3 linked regions of the Arabidopsis thaliana genome follow. The protein of the gene in region 1 interacts with the protein of each later gene in a pairwise test. Each region holds a gene or a part of one and is shown in the gene's direction. Other genes may lie near its edges.

Region 1 (5,438 bases):
ACTCACGGTGGATAGGGTCTCCGGTTTGATCGTAGTAGTTGAGTCCATCTCCATTGACTTTTTCTTGGTTACTTTCCTTTTTGAGTCTTTGAAGCTTCTTTGGGATTCTTTAAAATAAATTATCTCTCTCAATTCTTACAGATTTGTGTAGAGGCATTATGATAATACTTCTTCTACAAATCACGATTTAAATACTGATTTTTTTTTAACAAAAAAGAAAATAAACAGAACGTTCCTTCTTGCTTCGATCGGTCAAATACGCAACAATTAGTTCTTGTTGAATGGAAGGTGTGAAAAAGACGGTTTATAATGGGTATGGGTGAACCGTATATTTACCATCCATTCATCGTTTTTGATTTAAAAGAGGTATATTCAATCTAGTATTTAAAGTGACTTTCGTAAATTTTACAAGTATATGTTATTTAATTATGGATTTTGAAAATTCTAATGAAATCTAGTGTTATTAAAATAATAATTTAAAAATCTACCTTTAAATTCACTGTTATTAAAAATAATTTATGGATTTGATTTTTATAAGAATGTATTCAATCTAATATTTTAAGTGATTTGTGTAAAATTTATAAATTCTATGTTGTTCGATTATGGATTTGAAAAACTTTAATGAAATCTAGTATTATTGAACTAAAGATTTAAAATTCTATCTTAAAATCTATTGTTATTGAAAATAATTGGTAGATTTGATTCTTATTAATTTTGAAGGATTTGAGAAAGTTCTTTAGTTAAAAATAACAAAATCGAAATTCATGGTCTTATATAGAATTTTAAAATATTTTATAATAAATCACATCAATTTTCCTAAAATCATCAAACTCATATAAAAACTAGCTAAAACTCAAATTGTAAGGTCCAAATTAATGAGTCAACTCAACTCAACTCAACTCAATCCATGAACCCTAATGAGTTGAAAATTTTGACTCAAATGAGTTGATGAGTCAAATGAGTTGATGAGTCAATTGGTTTGATGAGTAAAATGAGTTGGGTTGTAATGGTTAATGGTTTCAATGGTTTATCCAATTAACCCATCAAATTTTGTAAAATTGAATTAAACCAACTAAAATCTCTAAACCAATGCCAATTTAAGTCTAACCAACACATCTAAACCAATTTAATAAAATTAATATTTTTCCAAATTTCTTAAATATACAAGCGATGAAATTGAGAAAAAGTAAACCCGTAATTTTTCCGCCAAAAACGTAAATCCGTGATTTTCCCGCCAAAAACGTAAATCCATGATTTTCCCGCCAAAAACGTAAACCCGAGATTTTCCCGCCAAAAACGTAAACCCGTAAAAAGTGGAATCCGTAAATATATTAAGTTTTGATGATAATGAATTAATAATGATAATTATTTATTATTATTTTATAATAATAATTAATTAAATTATTACTTAAATGGGTTAACCCATTTAACAACTCAACCCATTAAATTAAATGAGTTATGGGTTGACTTAACCCATTTAACAAAATGAGTTGGATCAACCCATAACTCATTTAACCCTAAACTCATTTGATTATGAGTTGAGTTGAGTTGTGTTACCCATTTTGACACACTTAGATCTAATACACCTCTTTATTAATTTTAAAGGATTTGAGAAAATTTAAAAAGATTTATTTAGTTACATATATAAAAATTCAAATCTCATATTTTTACTGGAATTTGATTTTTTTTTTTTACAATAAATCACATAAAAAGACATTAAAACTCAAAATTATTTAAAATATAAGGTTCAATACATATTTTGTCAATAAAAATTTAATAAGCTGCTAATATAGTTCATGAGAAAAATCAAAAATTAATTTATCAATCGAAAAAAAAGACGAAGAAAAATTAATTTATCTACGTAGCGCAAGAGACGGAGTGTTGTTTATTTAAAGAAAAGAAAGAAAAAAAAAAGAACGAATATTAAAATGGCGAGTCGCTCTCTTTTCTCTATCTCAATCTCACCTTCTCAATTTACAGTTTTGCCATCCATCAACAACGAGAGACGACGCCTTGCTATCGCCGCTCGATCTCACCGACTATCACGCCGGAAGATTCGTAAGAGACCTCCTGATAGAGATATGTCCTCCATAGTTTCAATCCCGGAGCTTCCTCGCCGGCGGGATTCTGAGGAAAGCCTGCTTTTAGATTCTCGAATCAGTAAGTTCTTAAAGCAACAGAATCCTCAGAAATTGGCATTTGGGATTAGGTTTTGCAAGTATCGAAGCTCCATTAACTGAATCCTCAGAAATGTGTGTATATGAATAGGTGTAGCTGAAGGAGATACATCGAATACAGATGTAGAAGGAGACAGAGATACTACTTCTAGTATTAGAACACAGCCTCCCCCTCGTAAAGGAAGAAATCTTAGTAGCAGCAGAATCAAATTCTACGGTGTTGAATTATCACCAGATAATGTTGCTGTAGCAATGGTGTATTTTGTTCAAGGTGTTTTAGGACTCGCTAGGCTCGCTGTTAGTTTCTATTTAAAAGATGACTTGCATCTTGATCCTGCTGAGGTATGCTTTTTGTAGTTCCTTGTTGGACTTTCATGGGAATATCTCTTTATAGGCTGACAAATATATACCTCTTGACTAGACAGCTGTGATAACGGGTCTTTCTTCATTGCCGTGGCTTGTTAAGCCTCTCTATGGTTTTATCAGGTATGAGTTCTTTATCACCTCTATACCTCTTGACTGTGATAACTGTTTAAGGAAGTTGGTCTGTTTTGCAGTGATTCAGTGCCTCTATTTGGTTATCGAAGGAGGTCATATCTAGTTCTCTCGGGACTTCTTGGTGCATTTTCTTGGAGTTTGATGGCTGGTTTTGTTGACAGTAAATATAGTGCTGCTTTTTGTATACTTCTCGGTTCCCTCTCTGTCGCCTTTTCTGATGTTGTAAGTTTTCAAATCCATTCTGGTTAACTTAGCTTGGTTAAGTTGCAAGATAGAGTTGGATATATTGAAATATTAATTAAGTGGTTAACGTTTTAATAGGTAGTAGACTCAATGGTAGTGGAACGGGCTCGTGGTGAGTCACAAAGCGTGTCAGGATCGCTGCAGTCTTTGTGCTGGGGATCCTCAGCTTTTGGTGGAATTGTGAGTTCCTACTTTAGCGGCTCCCTGGTGGAGTCATATGGTGTGAGGTACAGTTCACAATTTGCGCAAACAGTAGCTTTTCTCTTTTTCGGTATTCCGTGGCATAGCTAACTAACTAAGTGGCATTCTAAAAGCTGTTATACCTCAGGTTTGTATTTGGGGTGACAGCTTTACTACCCTTGATAACTTCAGCAGTTGCTGTTCTCGTGAATGAACAACGTGTGGTCAGACCAGCATCAGGGCAGAAAGAGAATATAACGCTGCTCAGTCCTGGTTTTCTTCAGACCTCAAAGCAGAACATGATTCAGCTATGGGGTGCCATTAAGCAACCGAATGTTTTTCTCCCCACCTTATTTATATTCTTATGGCAAGCCACACCACACTCAGATTCTGCAATGTTTTACTTCACGTATGTCCTCTTCCACTTGGTTCATGCCTTCATGGTTATTGGCTTATTTCATATTCTCTGGAATGTATTAACTAGTCTCTAACTAATTTTATTTGGTACAAATTTCACCTCAGAACGAACAAACTCGGTTTTACCCCGGAGTTTCTGGGACGAGTTAAACTTGTGACCTCAATTGCCTCATTGCTTGGAGTAGGACTGTACAATGGATTCCTGAAGACTGTTCCATTGAGAAAAATCTTTCTCGTGACGACAATTTTTGGCACGGGTCTTGGGATGACTCAGGTTGGTTCCCGTCCGCTCTTTACAAGAAAAACTTTGCCATCTATTATCTGTTACACAACCAATAACTCTTGGGACCGTTCTTATGTTTTGCAGGTTATCCTCGTGTCAGGTTTTAACAGACAGTTGGGGATTAGCGACGAATGGTTTGCTATAGGAGACTCTCTAATCCTAACAGTCCTTGCTCAGGTTTACATATTTGTCAGCATTGAGTTTTTCAAAGGCTGCATTATTGGAATTTGTGATTCCATAGTTAATGGAGCATTATTGGAATTTGTCAATATCTATGCACTGACAGCTTAAAATCGAACTGTAACAGGCTTCATTCATGCCGGTTCTTGTGTTAGCAGCGAGATTATGTCCAGAAGGAATGGAAGCAACTCTGTTCGCTACACTCATGTCAATCTCTAACGGAGGCAGTGTTCTAGGTGGGCTTATGGGTGCAGGACTGACTCAAGCATTCGGCATTACAAGAGACAGTTTTGGTAACTTATCAACACTTATTATCCTCTGCAATCTTAGCTCATTGCTCCCTCTGCCTCTTCTCGGTCTTTTACCGCGAGATTCTCCAGATACTCTTACTAAAGATGACGCAGACGTTGAGATGAAGTCCAATTAAGGAAGATGATGATAATTATCAAAAGTTAAAATGTGATATACCTTTAGAGGTGTTCTGTGTATTCAGTTCCAACCCTGTTATTACTTGAAAAGAATGAAGCAGGCTTTTACATGGAAACTACTTTTACCCAAAATATCATGTAACCAAAATGTTGTAATTCTTAAAACAATAAACTCTTTTGTTATTAGATTGCAGAAAAATACTTCAATATGCAAAAATAGTCATGATAGTAATCTCTACAAGATAGTTTCTAACATGAATCTTGATTTGATTCAACAGACCTGATTCACTCTTCTTCATCAGCACCATAGTTGTGGCATAGTGATGCGAGTCCCAAACTTGTTGTCTTCTTCTTCTTCAAGGTTATAATGCAAGCAAGTTTCTTAGTCTTAGGTTTCTTCTCATCTACTGCCTCCATTCTTACTTTCTTCGTCTTCTCCATCTCATCAGTTTCTTCGTCGACAATCCTCCTCTGCTTACCAAATTTGGTAGACTTTATCAACGCTGCATCTTCCTCCTTTGCAACTTCTTCTTCTTCTTTGTGTCTTTTACTCAAATCCTCAAGCATAGAGTCTACACTCACCGATACGCGTCTAGATTTCATAGATTTCATCTCATCAAGTGCAGCCATTACATCAACCTCTCTTTTCGAAACCAAAGTTCTCTTCTCTAAAGAACTCATCCTATCCCCACCGTCCTCGGCTTGCTCCTCCTCCTCGTGTTGATCATAAACACAAGTTGCACCTGATTCGGCTACATAACTCGAATTCTTTGGATCAGTCTTCAATATCAGCTCGGTGCAACACTTACTGCACTTGAAGTAAAACCTATGGATTTTGATCCCTAAGTAGGTTTCTCCGATTACGTTTTCTTCACGGCAATTGATTTTGGTACCTTCCGACATGTAATTCCCACAGGTGTTGCATCGAATACGTAATGGAACCATCGAACGAATCTTCCTTTGCTGATTCTTAGGTTTTCGGATCCGAGGAATCTGCTTCGGATCAAAGTTTGGTGGATAGTATTTGTTCAA
Region 2 (5,321 bases), on another chromosome or scaffold:
GGCTGCTGCTTGCATTCTAATGCATCACCCTGTGAAAGGAATAATGATTGTTGCTTTCACTGCACTCCCGGTGAGAGTTTGTGAGTTTGTTATTCTTACTACTGAATTTGCTTATACATAACTTCACTTCACATAGTCTCTTACTGGGGTTTGATTTTGTGGTATCTTTGAAGTGAAAAGAGATTTTGGGAGATGTTGTCAAATAGTTGAAAGAATATGGAGATGGTTCTTACATATTTGTAGCCTCTAGTATCTTGCATAATGATCTTTGTAACCCAATCAGGAACAATATTTGACTAAAGATGTCTTTGTACCCCAATCAGGATTCATACTTAAGTAGCTACTTACGTTAATGAGCTGGAAACTATGAAGGCTGTAGTATTATCCCCCAATGATGGCTTGTGTTATGGCAGAAAAGTTTTGTGTGGGTGTTCTGAGAGTTGGCTTCTTATTTTCATTTATGCAGGAACTGAGAATGGGGAAGGAAATCATGCTACAAATGAGCAAATGGCAGAGTCCAGTACTTCTCTGCCTCTTGTGACAGTTCCTGCTTCATCATATAGCAAAGAGAGTGCAGTCGTATGGGGATCTTCTCCTGACCACCTGGAAGTGCCGATGAAAGCATACCATCAACATTCGACCTGCTCAGATTCTCCTTGCGTATCTGAATCCGGCTCAGACATCTTCAGCAAGCGAGAAGTAATACAGAAACTGAGGCAACAGCTGAAGAGACGTGACGACATGATAGTTGAAATGCAGGAACAGATTCTAGAGCTGCAAAACTCGCTAAACGCCCAGATGGGACACTCTAGCCATATCCAAACACAGCTAGACGCAACAAACAGGGACCTGTTTGAATCAGAAAGAGAAGTCCAGAGACTGAGAAAGGCAATCGCTGATCACTGCGTGGGACACACAGGTAGCAATGGTTGGAGTGGCGATGTGAACAGCGAAAACAACTACGAGTCACCAGAAAATGGAATAAGGGATGGAGAAAGAATAGAGATGTTGAGAAAAGAAGTGGGTGAGCTTAAAGAAGTGATAGATGGGAAAGAGTATCTACTTAGGAGCTATAAGGAGCAGAAAACAGAGCTTTTGCAGAAGGTAAAAGAGTTGCAGCAGAGACTGGACTCGCAGCTCCCAAACATTTTGTAGGTGAAGAAGGTTAGGCATTGTGCATTCTTACCACTCTCTTTTGTTTCCCCGAGTAAAAAATATGAATCTTTGTTCAAAAATATCTCAATTTCTCCGGGGAAACTTATCAACTGACTACATTGTTTTGGGTGTCAATTATGATTTTATCCAAATTGTTTTTTTCTCTTGGTGAAGTGGATATTCGAAAGTTGCAAACTCATACAATATCGTGTCTCAAGGCTTAAATTGTAGAATTGCAGTTGAAGTTTTTTACAAGAAAGTTGGTTACTTGTTCTTAAGGAAAGAGAAAGAAGGGTTGCTAAAATTTAATTTGGCACTTATTTCAGTCAGGTTTTGATATTCATAAGGAAGAAAATCGTTAGAGAAGGAAGGACCAAATATTTAATTTTGTAGTTGTCACATAGTGAAGAAGACAAAAGAAAAATGTATCATCACATTAGCTGGTAGTGACTTAAAATAGAAAAAAAAAAATAATCAACAGAAAGTGCAAACATTTACACATGGATAAAGATGTCAAATGTTCATTCATACTCAAATTATCTATTAAATTTCATTACTAAAAAATTGAAATCGTAAAGAAGAAAAGAAAGAAGAAAAAAACATATGAGCTGAGTTTGTTAACCACCGTGAGCGTCATCCATGGGACGTGGTTGACGCGTGCGTGATTTTATTTTAATAAATGAATTAACAGTGGAAGGAAAAAACAACAACGGAGCTGTAACTGTGAGGCGCCGTCTCTCTTCAACCTCTTCCCCTCCACTTTGCTTCTCTCTCTCCTCCCCGGGGGTTTTACAGTCATATCATCGTCGGAGACTCTGCGATTCTTCACGGAATCGTATTTCTCTCTCAGCGATTTTTTTCGATTCTCGAAGCTGCAAGGACCACCCATCAAACATTGAAACTCAAGCGGGAGAAATTTTCTGGCTCGGGAGGGAAACTATGGAGCCCTAATGCCCATTTTCTGCTGTCTATGAGGTTTTTTAAAGAGTCCTTTATACTCTCCCTGTTTTTGGGTGCTTCGCTCGCTCACTGATTTTTGATTCGTCGGAAAATCTATTTTCGAGCTCGGATTTATGTAATTCCTTATTCTCCTTCTGATTGCGATTGTTGTGTTCATTAAGGGTTGTTGGGATATCGATTAACGGCCCCTATCGAAAAAAATAAGGGTTGTTATTATTTTCATTTCGCTTCATGTTCAAGGCAAGTATCTATCTCTTCTTCTTGCTTTTGTAGTTTTAGAATCTAAATCCCATGGCATCAACGTTTCGATTACTCTTTCAGGGAACTCCATTTTTCTTGCATTTGCTTTTTTTGAGGTAGAGTCTGTGCTCCTATATGATTCCATGGATTCGTCGTATACTTTCTCAACTGAGAATGTTTGACTTAGAGAATCTTCCATTTTTTTTTTTGTCTTTCTCTTTTCAGTGTTACTATCATTTTAGATCTTTTTTTTGTTTTTCCTTCTCTGGTTGACTGTGTTTGAGGTAATGCTCAAAACGTGATTCTTTGTGCTCATTATCTTTTCATATTCTAGTTTCTGGAATCTTTCTGGGTATTAAGCATTTGATGATTTTAAAATTGTATATTTGTTGATTTTATTGAGTTGACACCAGGTTTCTTGTTGACATATGCCCAATTCATTCTGATCGTTGATGATGATTGATTCTTGTATCCGTTCAATGTAGGTTATGTTTGGATGATAGATACATTTTGACTTTCTCATACAATGAGTACACGAAGAAATGGCATTTCCAAGCATCAGCGAGGTGATAAATTTTGTGGTGAAGGGCCAAACTGGATACTAATTGCAGGGGGTGCATTGTTGAGCACATTGTCCATTCGCTTTGGATACAAGCTAAAGCAGTCGCTTGATTCGAAACCTCAATCAAATGGCTCTGCTGGATTAAAACGTACTTACTTTATCGCTGTGTTGCTTAACATGTTTTATAATTTGGTTCTAGTTTTTTTCTATCACTAAATGAAAGCCTCTTGTGCAGCTAATGGAACATCTGAGAGGCAAAAATCTACAAGCTGTTGCTTACACTCTACCACATCTTCCTGTACACAAAATAATGATTTTTGTTGCTTCCGCTCCATTCCAGGTGTGACTTTGTAACTTTCTGTTTTGCCTCATACATATTTGTTCAATCTACTAAACAAACGCTATATGCTTGTTTCTTGGTCTCGCATCATGTCTTACTGGGTTTCCTTTCATGAAGTTAAAACGATGTGTGATATATAGTAAAATCTAGTTGGGAGAATGTGTAGATGTTGTTATAGAGTTCTAGCCTCTGTTATCTTACCTCATGATGTATTTGTCAACTAGGGGAATCCAATTCGAAGTTATGGAATGAGTAAAATAGTTACAAGATTTGCCACCTTGCAATAACTGGTTGAATCGAATATCTCTTGTTTCGTTGTGGCATATTACCATTAATTTGCATCAATTGGGCTGGCAACTAGGGAAGCAGGTTTTCTCCATTGATGGCTGTGTCTAGTGGCTGAATGCTAAAAACAGTTACTAGTTTTGTTATCTACCAAGACCTCGTTAAGCATAGTTACAAGTTTTGTACTATTAGATCCAGACCTGAGTTATGTTTTCTCTTTGGAAAATCTCTGAATCCTAATATTCATGTAGTCCAGAGCAAACAGTCGTGTATGGATCTTATCAGCCTTTGCTTCTTTATTTTTATAGGAACTGAGAGTGTGGAAGGAAAAGAGGTGACAAGCGAGCAAATGATATCCGCATCTGACACTTCACTGCCTCTTGTGACAGTTCCTGCTCCATCGAGCAAAGAGAATGGAGTCATGTGGGCAACTTCTCCTGATCGCCTGGAACTTCCCCCAAGACCATACAATCACAATTCAAACTGCTCAGATTCTCCTTGCGTATCTGAAACCAGCTCAGACATTTTCAGCAAACGAGAAGTAATACAGAAACTAAGGCAGCAGCTGAAGAGACGGGATGACATGATACAGGAAATGCAAGAACAGATTCTAGAGCTGCAAAACTCGTATAACGCACAGACGGCACACTCAAGCCATCTCCAGGCACAGCTAGACACACTGAACAGAGATCTGTTTGAATCAGAAAGAGAAGTTCAAAGACTGAGAAAGGCAATTGCTGATCACAGCGTGGGATGTGGCGCGGACAGCAATGGCAAGACATCTCCGGTTGGACCTTGGAATGGCGGGTTTATGGACAGCGAAAGCAATTATGAGTCACAAGAAAAGAGCCTAAGGGATGGAGAAAGAGTAGAGATGTTGAGAAAGGAAGTGAGTGAGCTTAAAGAAGTGATAGATGGGAAAGAGTATCTACTTAGAAGCTATAAGGAGCAGAAGATTGAGCTTTCGCAGAAGGTAAAAGAGTTGCAGCAGAGACTGGACTCACAGCTCCAAAACTTATTGTAGGTGGAAAGGTTAGGCATTGTGCATACTTGCGTCTCTTATTTTTTTTTTCGGTTCTTTTTCCTTTTTCGAGAAAATGAATCTTAGTATGTACTAAGAACGGTGGAGATCAAGATTTTCAGGTTCTTTCTGGCTTTCTGCTTTCGTTTTTGAATGTCTTGATTCTGTTTTTTCTTTCAACATTTGGTGTAAAGGTAAATAGATAGTTGTTGAAGAATTTACCGCGGGAATAGCTCTCTACTTTTTTTTTTTTTTTATTCTCCGTAATTGGTAACTAACCCGATAATTACAAACGCCACGTATAAGGATGTGTTCACTAGAAGAATTAGCCAATTTTAACACAAATGATAAATAGTATAAACAAATTTTAAATTTATAAATAGACGCAACATACATTATTATTTTTAAGATACAGTTAAAATAAAATTGTTAGCAATTATGCTTATTCTGAAATTTTGGGTTTGAATATAAATAAGAAATAGAGTTTTATCCTAATAAGATTTATATAAATAAACATATAAAGTCAAAGTCATACTTTATCCTCTCAGAGGCCGTCTCTCGGGTTTTGCTGGTCTTCCTTGCTCCTCTCGCTTTTGAATGGAGATGTGAGCTTTCTTCATTCAAAGAGCAAAACTATCTAATTCCATGGCGTTCTCCCTCCTCTCTCCAATTCCTACCTCTGCCTCTCTTTTTTTCACTCTCTCCGCCATTACCGCTTCTAATAATGCTTCCTCCTCCTCTCTCTCCCGTCTTTACTC
Region 3 (5,423 bases), on another chromosome or scaffold:
TTAATCTTCGTCTGAGGATGAAACGGCAAAATGTTAACCGAAACCCACCGACGAGCTTGTCTTCCGTTAGCCAACGCCGGAATATCACCGTTAGGAACGGTGACAACGACGGAGATACCAGTTCCAGCGAAGGCACGTAGGATATCGGGATTCACATCGAAGATCTTGACGCTATCAATCGAAGTTTGTGTCTTGATAAAGTTAGCCACCTGAGTCGGTGGTGGGAGGTTTCCGAGAGTTCCGTAGTTAACACCGATGGCGGAGATCACGGCGGGGATGGTGAGGAATACGGCGGCGCAGAGGAGGAGGAGAAGAGAGATTGACGGTGGCGCTTTGGCCATCTTTTTATATTTCGGAAATGAGAAAACCAAACGATTCCAAGTGAAACCCGTGAATCGTTTGAGTTGTGTTTTTATTATTACGACGAATAGATTTTTTTATTCTTATCGAGAAAGTATTTATAATAAAAATTAATAGATATGACCGTTTTGTATAGCGTATACGTGTGTATATTTTTAGTGAGGAACAGCTGGATTTTGTGGAAAGCAAAATAAAAGAAGAAGTTTGTGTTGTCTTTGTTTTTCATGTGCGTCGGCTTAAATTTAGGCCGTTGTAAATTATTGAAAAAGTGGATTTTGTTGTGACCGTGGAAACTTTAGTTAATTAATTTGGCTAATTATAGAGTCTGCTTTTGTTTGGATAATCAATTTGTCATCTTTTTCTTTAATGGTTTTTGGCTGGTAAATACTCATACTATCCAAGTTTAATCTAAAAATATACCTCTTTCTTGTTAATCGTAATTTTACAATCCTAATTTTATCCAGATACGGATGAACTATATTTGAAAAAAAGGAACTAAAGTGAAGTTAAGAAAACAAAAGAGAGATCGAGTGTTGTTTTTTCTTGGATACGTTTATTAAAAGATGTTCTTAATGAGGTCAAAGGAGACTATCTGAGTTTTTACTGCTAAACTTAAAACTAAAAAAAAAATCGATTAGTAATATTGATGTATCAACGAAATGTATATGGTTAAATATTAAGTGAAAAGAAAAAGAAGAGAGATCGACGCGGTTTGGGATAATGCCATTGGCCCATTGGACACGTGTTTGTAGGAGGAATAGTTTGGAGTTTGAACACTACGGACCAAAGTCAAAGAGATTCGAAGTATGAAGATGTTGTTGAGGAAGCTGATTCGAAGTAACTTTTACCGACACGCTTTAGCCATTTGTTATGCTTTCTTTGGGAAAAGAAGATCCGCGTCCATGTCTCATTGTTAACAGTTTATTGTCATTTTCAATGACATGGTTACACTCATTGCACACACACACAAACCACGTAATTTTGTATTTTTTTAATTAAATCCCATCCTTATTTTTTGCAATAACAAATTACCATTGTTACTTTTTAATGATATCACATAAAATAATCGATGCCACTCGATAGCCCTTTAGACTAACAATATGTTTGTTGAAGTATGCCACAATGTTTGAAGTGAGCCGGCTCAATGCTCTCATGGTGGTTTAGTAGTTTAACTTGAGAACTTACAACAGTTTTCTCCTTCTCCACACTATTTGTATCCAAGAAGGGGCATTACAATATAGAATTGCATAATACGATTTAAACTTTTACCAAAAAAAAAAAAGAAAAAAAAAGAAAGAATTGCGTAATACAGAATTTATCTTTAAGGGAATACAAATATAATTTGGTTTCAGAATCATCTCAATAGGCTTTCCTTTAACCAAACTTGGGTTTTATTGATGTGCTTGCTTTAATGGGCCTAAAGCCCATACAACAGCATCACTATCCACGCCGTTGTCTATTCTTATTATTCACCCCACCCGGTACACCGACCAAACCTTGGCCAACACGTCCATAATATTTCATCCTCCCTCCTAATTTACTTTAATATCCTCAACTTTCCTAATCGTTCAGGGAATATTCTCATATACCCTAGACATATGCGTCTTTTCCAATCTAAAATGTTGAGAGTATATTTTTATTTATATATATATGAGTGACCCCTGCGAGAGACAACGGCCACTGAACACTATCGATCTAATCTTTTCAGCTCTCTCCATCGTCGTCGTATCTGTGACTCTCGTGATCATCGCCTGAAAAAAATTTGAGATAATGGCCAGAAAGTTCTTCGTCGGAGGCAACTGGAAATGTGTAAGTGATCTTTACCTTCTATTGCGCACCTTATTATTAGTCTTGTCACTTGATCCTTCCCCGATCAAGTCAAAGAGATCGGAAAATCCCGATCTTAAGATCTAAGGTTTTTTTCATTATTTGTAGCGGTGGAATTTGAATTGTAATGCATATGGTTCAGATTTGTCGATTCTATGCCGGATCTTAGTTGTTTTTTTTTGTCAAAATTTTGAGTAGGAATTTTTCTTCAATTGATATCTCGTGTTCTAGCTTTGGTGGATCCGTGTGTTAATTTTGTTGGTTAAACTATTTTAACATGTTAATATTTGAATTTGTAATCTTATATAGAACGGAACTGCTGAGGAGGTGAAGAAGATTGTGAACACTCTTAATGAAGCTCAGGTTCCTTCACAGGATGTTGTAGGTATGTGTAGCATCTCAATTGCTTTGACGACATTATGGCTTTTTTTTTAATTTCCATGTCTATGAAATCTTAAGTAGTGACAAATATTTTGGGCATACAATTACAAACCTGTTTCAATGTACATCGATGTTCTATAGTGTTTATGCTTCTTAGGAACCATGGATAGATCTAGTGTTTGTTGTTAGTTAAAATGTTCTTTATCATATACTTGTTATGGTTCTATCTTTGTTGATAGTTATAAGTATGTTTGTTCTTGTATTAATAATTTGATGAAATTTTACTAAATGCAGAGGTTGTGGTTAGCCCTCCATATGTTTTTCTTCCCCTGGTTAAGAGCACATTGAGGTCTGACTTTTTTGTTGCGGCACAAAACTGTTGGGTTAAGAAAGGAGGTGCTTTCACTGGTGAAGTGAGGTGAGATTCTAACCATTGGTGTATACTTTAAGCTGTTTTACCATTATTGCTTCATGCAGTAAATATTTATGGTTTTGAAAATGAATATGATTGTGTTTATAAACGAATCGATTTTTCCATCTGTTCTTCTTCTTTATCTTCTTTCCTATAAGAATTGTGTAACCTAAGTGATTAAGAAAACAACTAGTAGTTGGTAGTAAGACCATGATTGGATTCGTGCCTGGTTAGACAAGTAGGTGTAATATGATTTACCTGTCTATGGAATGCTTTCATAGGAAGAAAAGATATATTCTGTGGTGCCTGTATTTCCTGCTCTTATGCATTGTGTAATTTGTGTGTTTTAGTGCGGAGATGCTTGTGAACTTGGATATTCCATGGGTTATCCTTGGTCACTCTGAAAGGAGGGCAATCCTTAATGAATCAAGCGAGGTTGGTGACTTTACATGATAAAATAATTTTCTGGAGACTCAAATAGCTTTTAAATTCATGATTTTGGTTTTTGACCTCTATCCTACATTTGTAGTTCGTCGGAGACAAGGTTGCCTATGCACTTGCTCAAGGTTTGAAAGTGATTGCTTGTGTTGGTGAGACTCTTGAGGAGCGGGAAGCTGGATCGACCATGGATGTTGTGGCTGCCCAGACCAAGGCTATTGCCGGTATGTATATTGTCAAACATTTAATCTCTTTTTGCTATCTCAGTTCGTTCTCGTTTACAGTGAGACCTGTTTTGATGATAGTGATGCCCGTTTCTACGCACTATACTCCCTTAGTGTGTGATTCAAACCCCACAGAAATATTTGTTGGCTAAAAAACTCTTTTTGTTGGTAATGGCAGATCGGGTGACAAACTGGTCAAATGTTGTCATAGCCTATGAACCAGTGTGGGCCATTGGAACCGGAAAGGTCGCTAGCCCAGCCCAAGCTCAAGAAGTAAGTGGTTCTCGATGCGCAGTTGCACTGTAACGTGTTGCATATGGTCATGATTTAATAGGAAAACCAATGCTGTTTTCCTTACGAGAGCTTGTTTCGTTTATGAACAGGTACACGATGAGCTGAGGAAATGGCTGGCCAAGAACGTGAGTGCTGATGTCGCTGCTACAACCCGCATCATTTATGGAGGTAGATAGATGATAACACGATCTTTAATTAAACACCCCTATATAGTTTTCTATGTTACTTAGCTTGATTATGCAAATTATTATCAGGATCCGTCAATGGTGGTAACTGCAAGGAGCTAGGTGGACAGGCCGATGTTGATGGTTTCTTGGTCGGTGGTGCTTCTCTAAAGGTACATATAATATGGTTTCTCTTGTAATGATATCTTTCGTTTGTCTCTTTCAAAACCATGACTAATGTTTTCATTCTTGGTCTTTTTGCAGCCTGAGTTTATCGACATCATTAAGGCCGCAGAGGTGAAGAAAAGTGCCTAATGAGCTCATTAAGCAATTTAAAAGTCCTTTGCTTTTCCAGTCGCAACTCTGAAAAAATGAATAAGTTGGTATTATGATATGATACATTTTGCTTCAGTTGTATTTGGCAAAAGTTTCTCTCTTACTATATTGTTTTGAGAACGCAACAATCATTTTCTTCGCCATTTATTTAGCTGTGGACTTGCAATTTGCAAATCCCTTCCTTTTACAGTCTTCTCAACTCTTCAGAGAATCTGTGTTTGGAGTTCATAACCCCTCGGGCCTTTTGATCAAACCCCTATTTCTAATGTCGTCCGATCATAAACCTGTGTGTTATATAATATGTTGTTTGTTCCATTTTAGACTTTGGTATTTTGTCATGCTTGATCTCTGAATCATGCTGTCAACCACTTTGAAAATGGCTTTACTTGTTAAATAAATGACGAGAGAATACAGGAGAAGTGGGAAATGACTTTATTTTTTCCCTTTTATCGCTTTTTGCCTATTGGTCTGTCATTTTTGACATTTTAGCTTTTAGAACATTATTATTTTCAACTTTATTGTCATCATCTTGAAAAATGTCCAACATTACGAAATTATTATGTAGAGAGTAAAAAAGGAAAAGAAATTTCATGGAGAAACTCATTGTATTAGGAATGTCAATGTTTGTAGAAAACAAAATGCTTATGTAATTTGAGTAAAACGGCTCAGTGGAACTAAAGTGATAATGTAAAAGAGACGGTTAAGTCCAAAATAAGAGCTCCCGTATGTCAGAATTGTTCAAACCATTTATTAAAAAATTGGACTCAGTATGATGAAAATGTGTATGGATTTTGATCCGACCACGAAAATCCAACTAGTGCCAATAAAAACTCCACAATATGTGACTCAGCTACAAATGTGATAACGTATTATCTCCCAAGTCAACCCACATTTCTGGTGACTTATATTTTATTTATTTCTGAGTAATATTTAAGAAAGTAGGGATTGAATTTTTATGAGTATTATATTATATAGTTGACCTTGGAC

What was found.
Region 2: the proteins of AT2G32040 (region 1) and AT4G27610 interact in a protein complementation assay, tested with the Arabidopsis thaliana proteins (one large-scale study listed by BioGRID).
Region 3: the proteins of AT2G32040 (region 1) and TPI interact in a protein complementation assay, tested with the Arabidopsis thaliana proteins (one large-scale study listed by BioGRID).

The regions. Positions count from the first base shown.
Region 1 is NC_003071.7:13,633,188-13,638,625, forward strand, and holds AT2G32040 (Major facilitator superfamily protein), read left to right. Parts: upstream 1-1,906; 5' UTR 1,907-1,928; coding exon 1,929-2,160; intron 2,161-2,248; exon of another isoform or gene 2,249-2,268; coding exon 2,269-2,519; intron 2,520-2,598; coding exon 2,599-2,663; intron 2,664-2,734; coding exon 2,735-2,897; intron 2,898-2,996; coding exon 2,997-3,145; intron 3,146-3,246; coding exon 3,247-3,507; intron 3,508-3,620; coding exon 3,621-3,789; intron 3,790-3,882; coding exon 3,883-3,975; intron 3,976-4,105; coding exon 4,106-4,405; 3' UTR 4,406-4,691; downstream 4,692-5,438. Other genes in the region: AT2G32030 (Acyl-CoA N-acyltransferases (NAT) superfamily protein), read right to left, coding at 1-54; AT2G32050 (cell cycle control-like protein (DUF572)), read right to left, coding at 4,692-5,438.
Region 2 is NC_003075.7:13,784,893-13,790,213, reverse strand, and holds AT4G27610 (intracellular protein transporter), read left to right. Parts: upstream 1-1,698; 5' UTR 1,699-2,130; exon of another isoform or gene 2,131-2,840; 5' UTR 2,841-2,881; coding exon 2,882-3,065; intron 3,066-3,152; coding exon 3,153-3,257; intron 3,258-3,850; coding exon 3,851-4,566; 3' UTR 4,567-4,801; downstream 4,802-5,321. Other genes in the region: AT4G27620 (intracellular protein transporter), read left to right, coding at 1-70, 467-1,155; NARA5 (pfkB-like carbohydrate kinase family protein), read left to right, coding at 5,209-5,321.
Region 3 is NC_003074.8:20,551,664-20,557,086, forward strand, and holds TPI (triosephosphate isomerase), read left to right. Parts: upstream 1-1,739; 5' UTR 1,740-2,130; coding exon 2,131-2,169; intron 2,170-2,496; coding exon 2,497-2,572; intron 2,573-2,862; coding exon 2,863-2,986; intron 2,987-3,330; coding exon 3,331-3,415; intron 3,416-3,509; coding exon 3,510-3,642; intron 3,643-3,820; coding exon 3,821-3,915; intron 3,916-4,025; coding exon 4,026-4,104; intron 4,105-4,190; coding exon 4,191-4,273; intron 4,274-4,364; coding exon 4,365-4,415; 3' UTR 4,416-4,897; downstream 4,898-5,423. Other genes in the region: AT3G55430 (O-Glycosyl hydrolases family 17 protein), read right to left, coding at 1-341.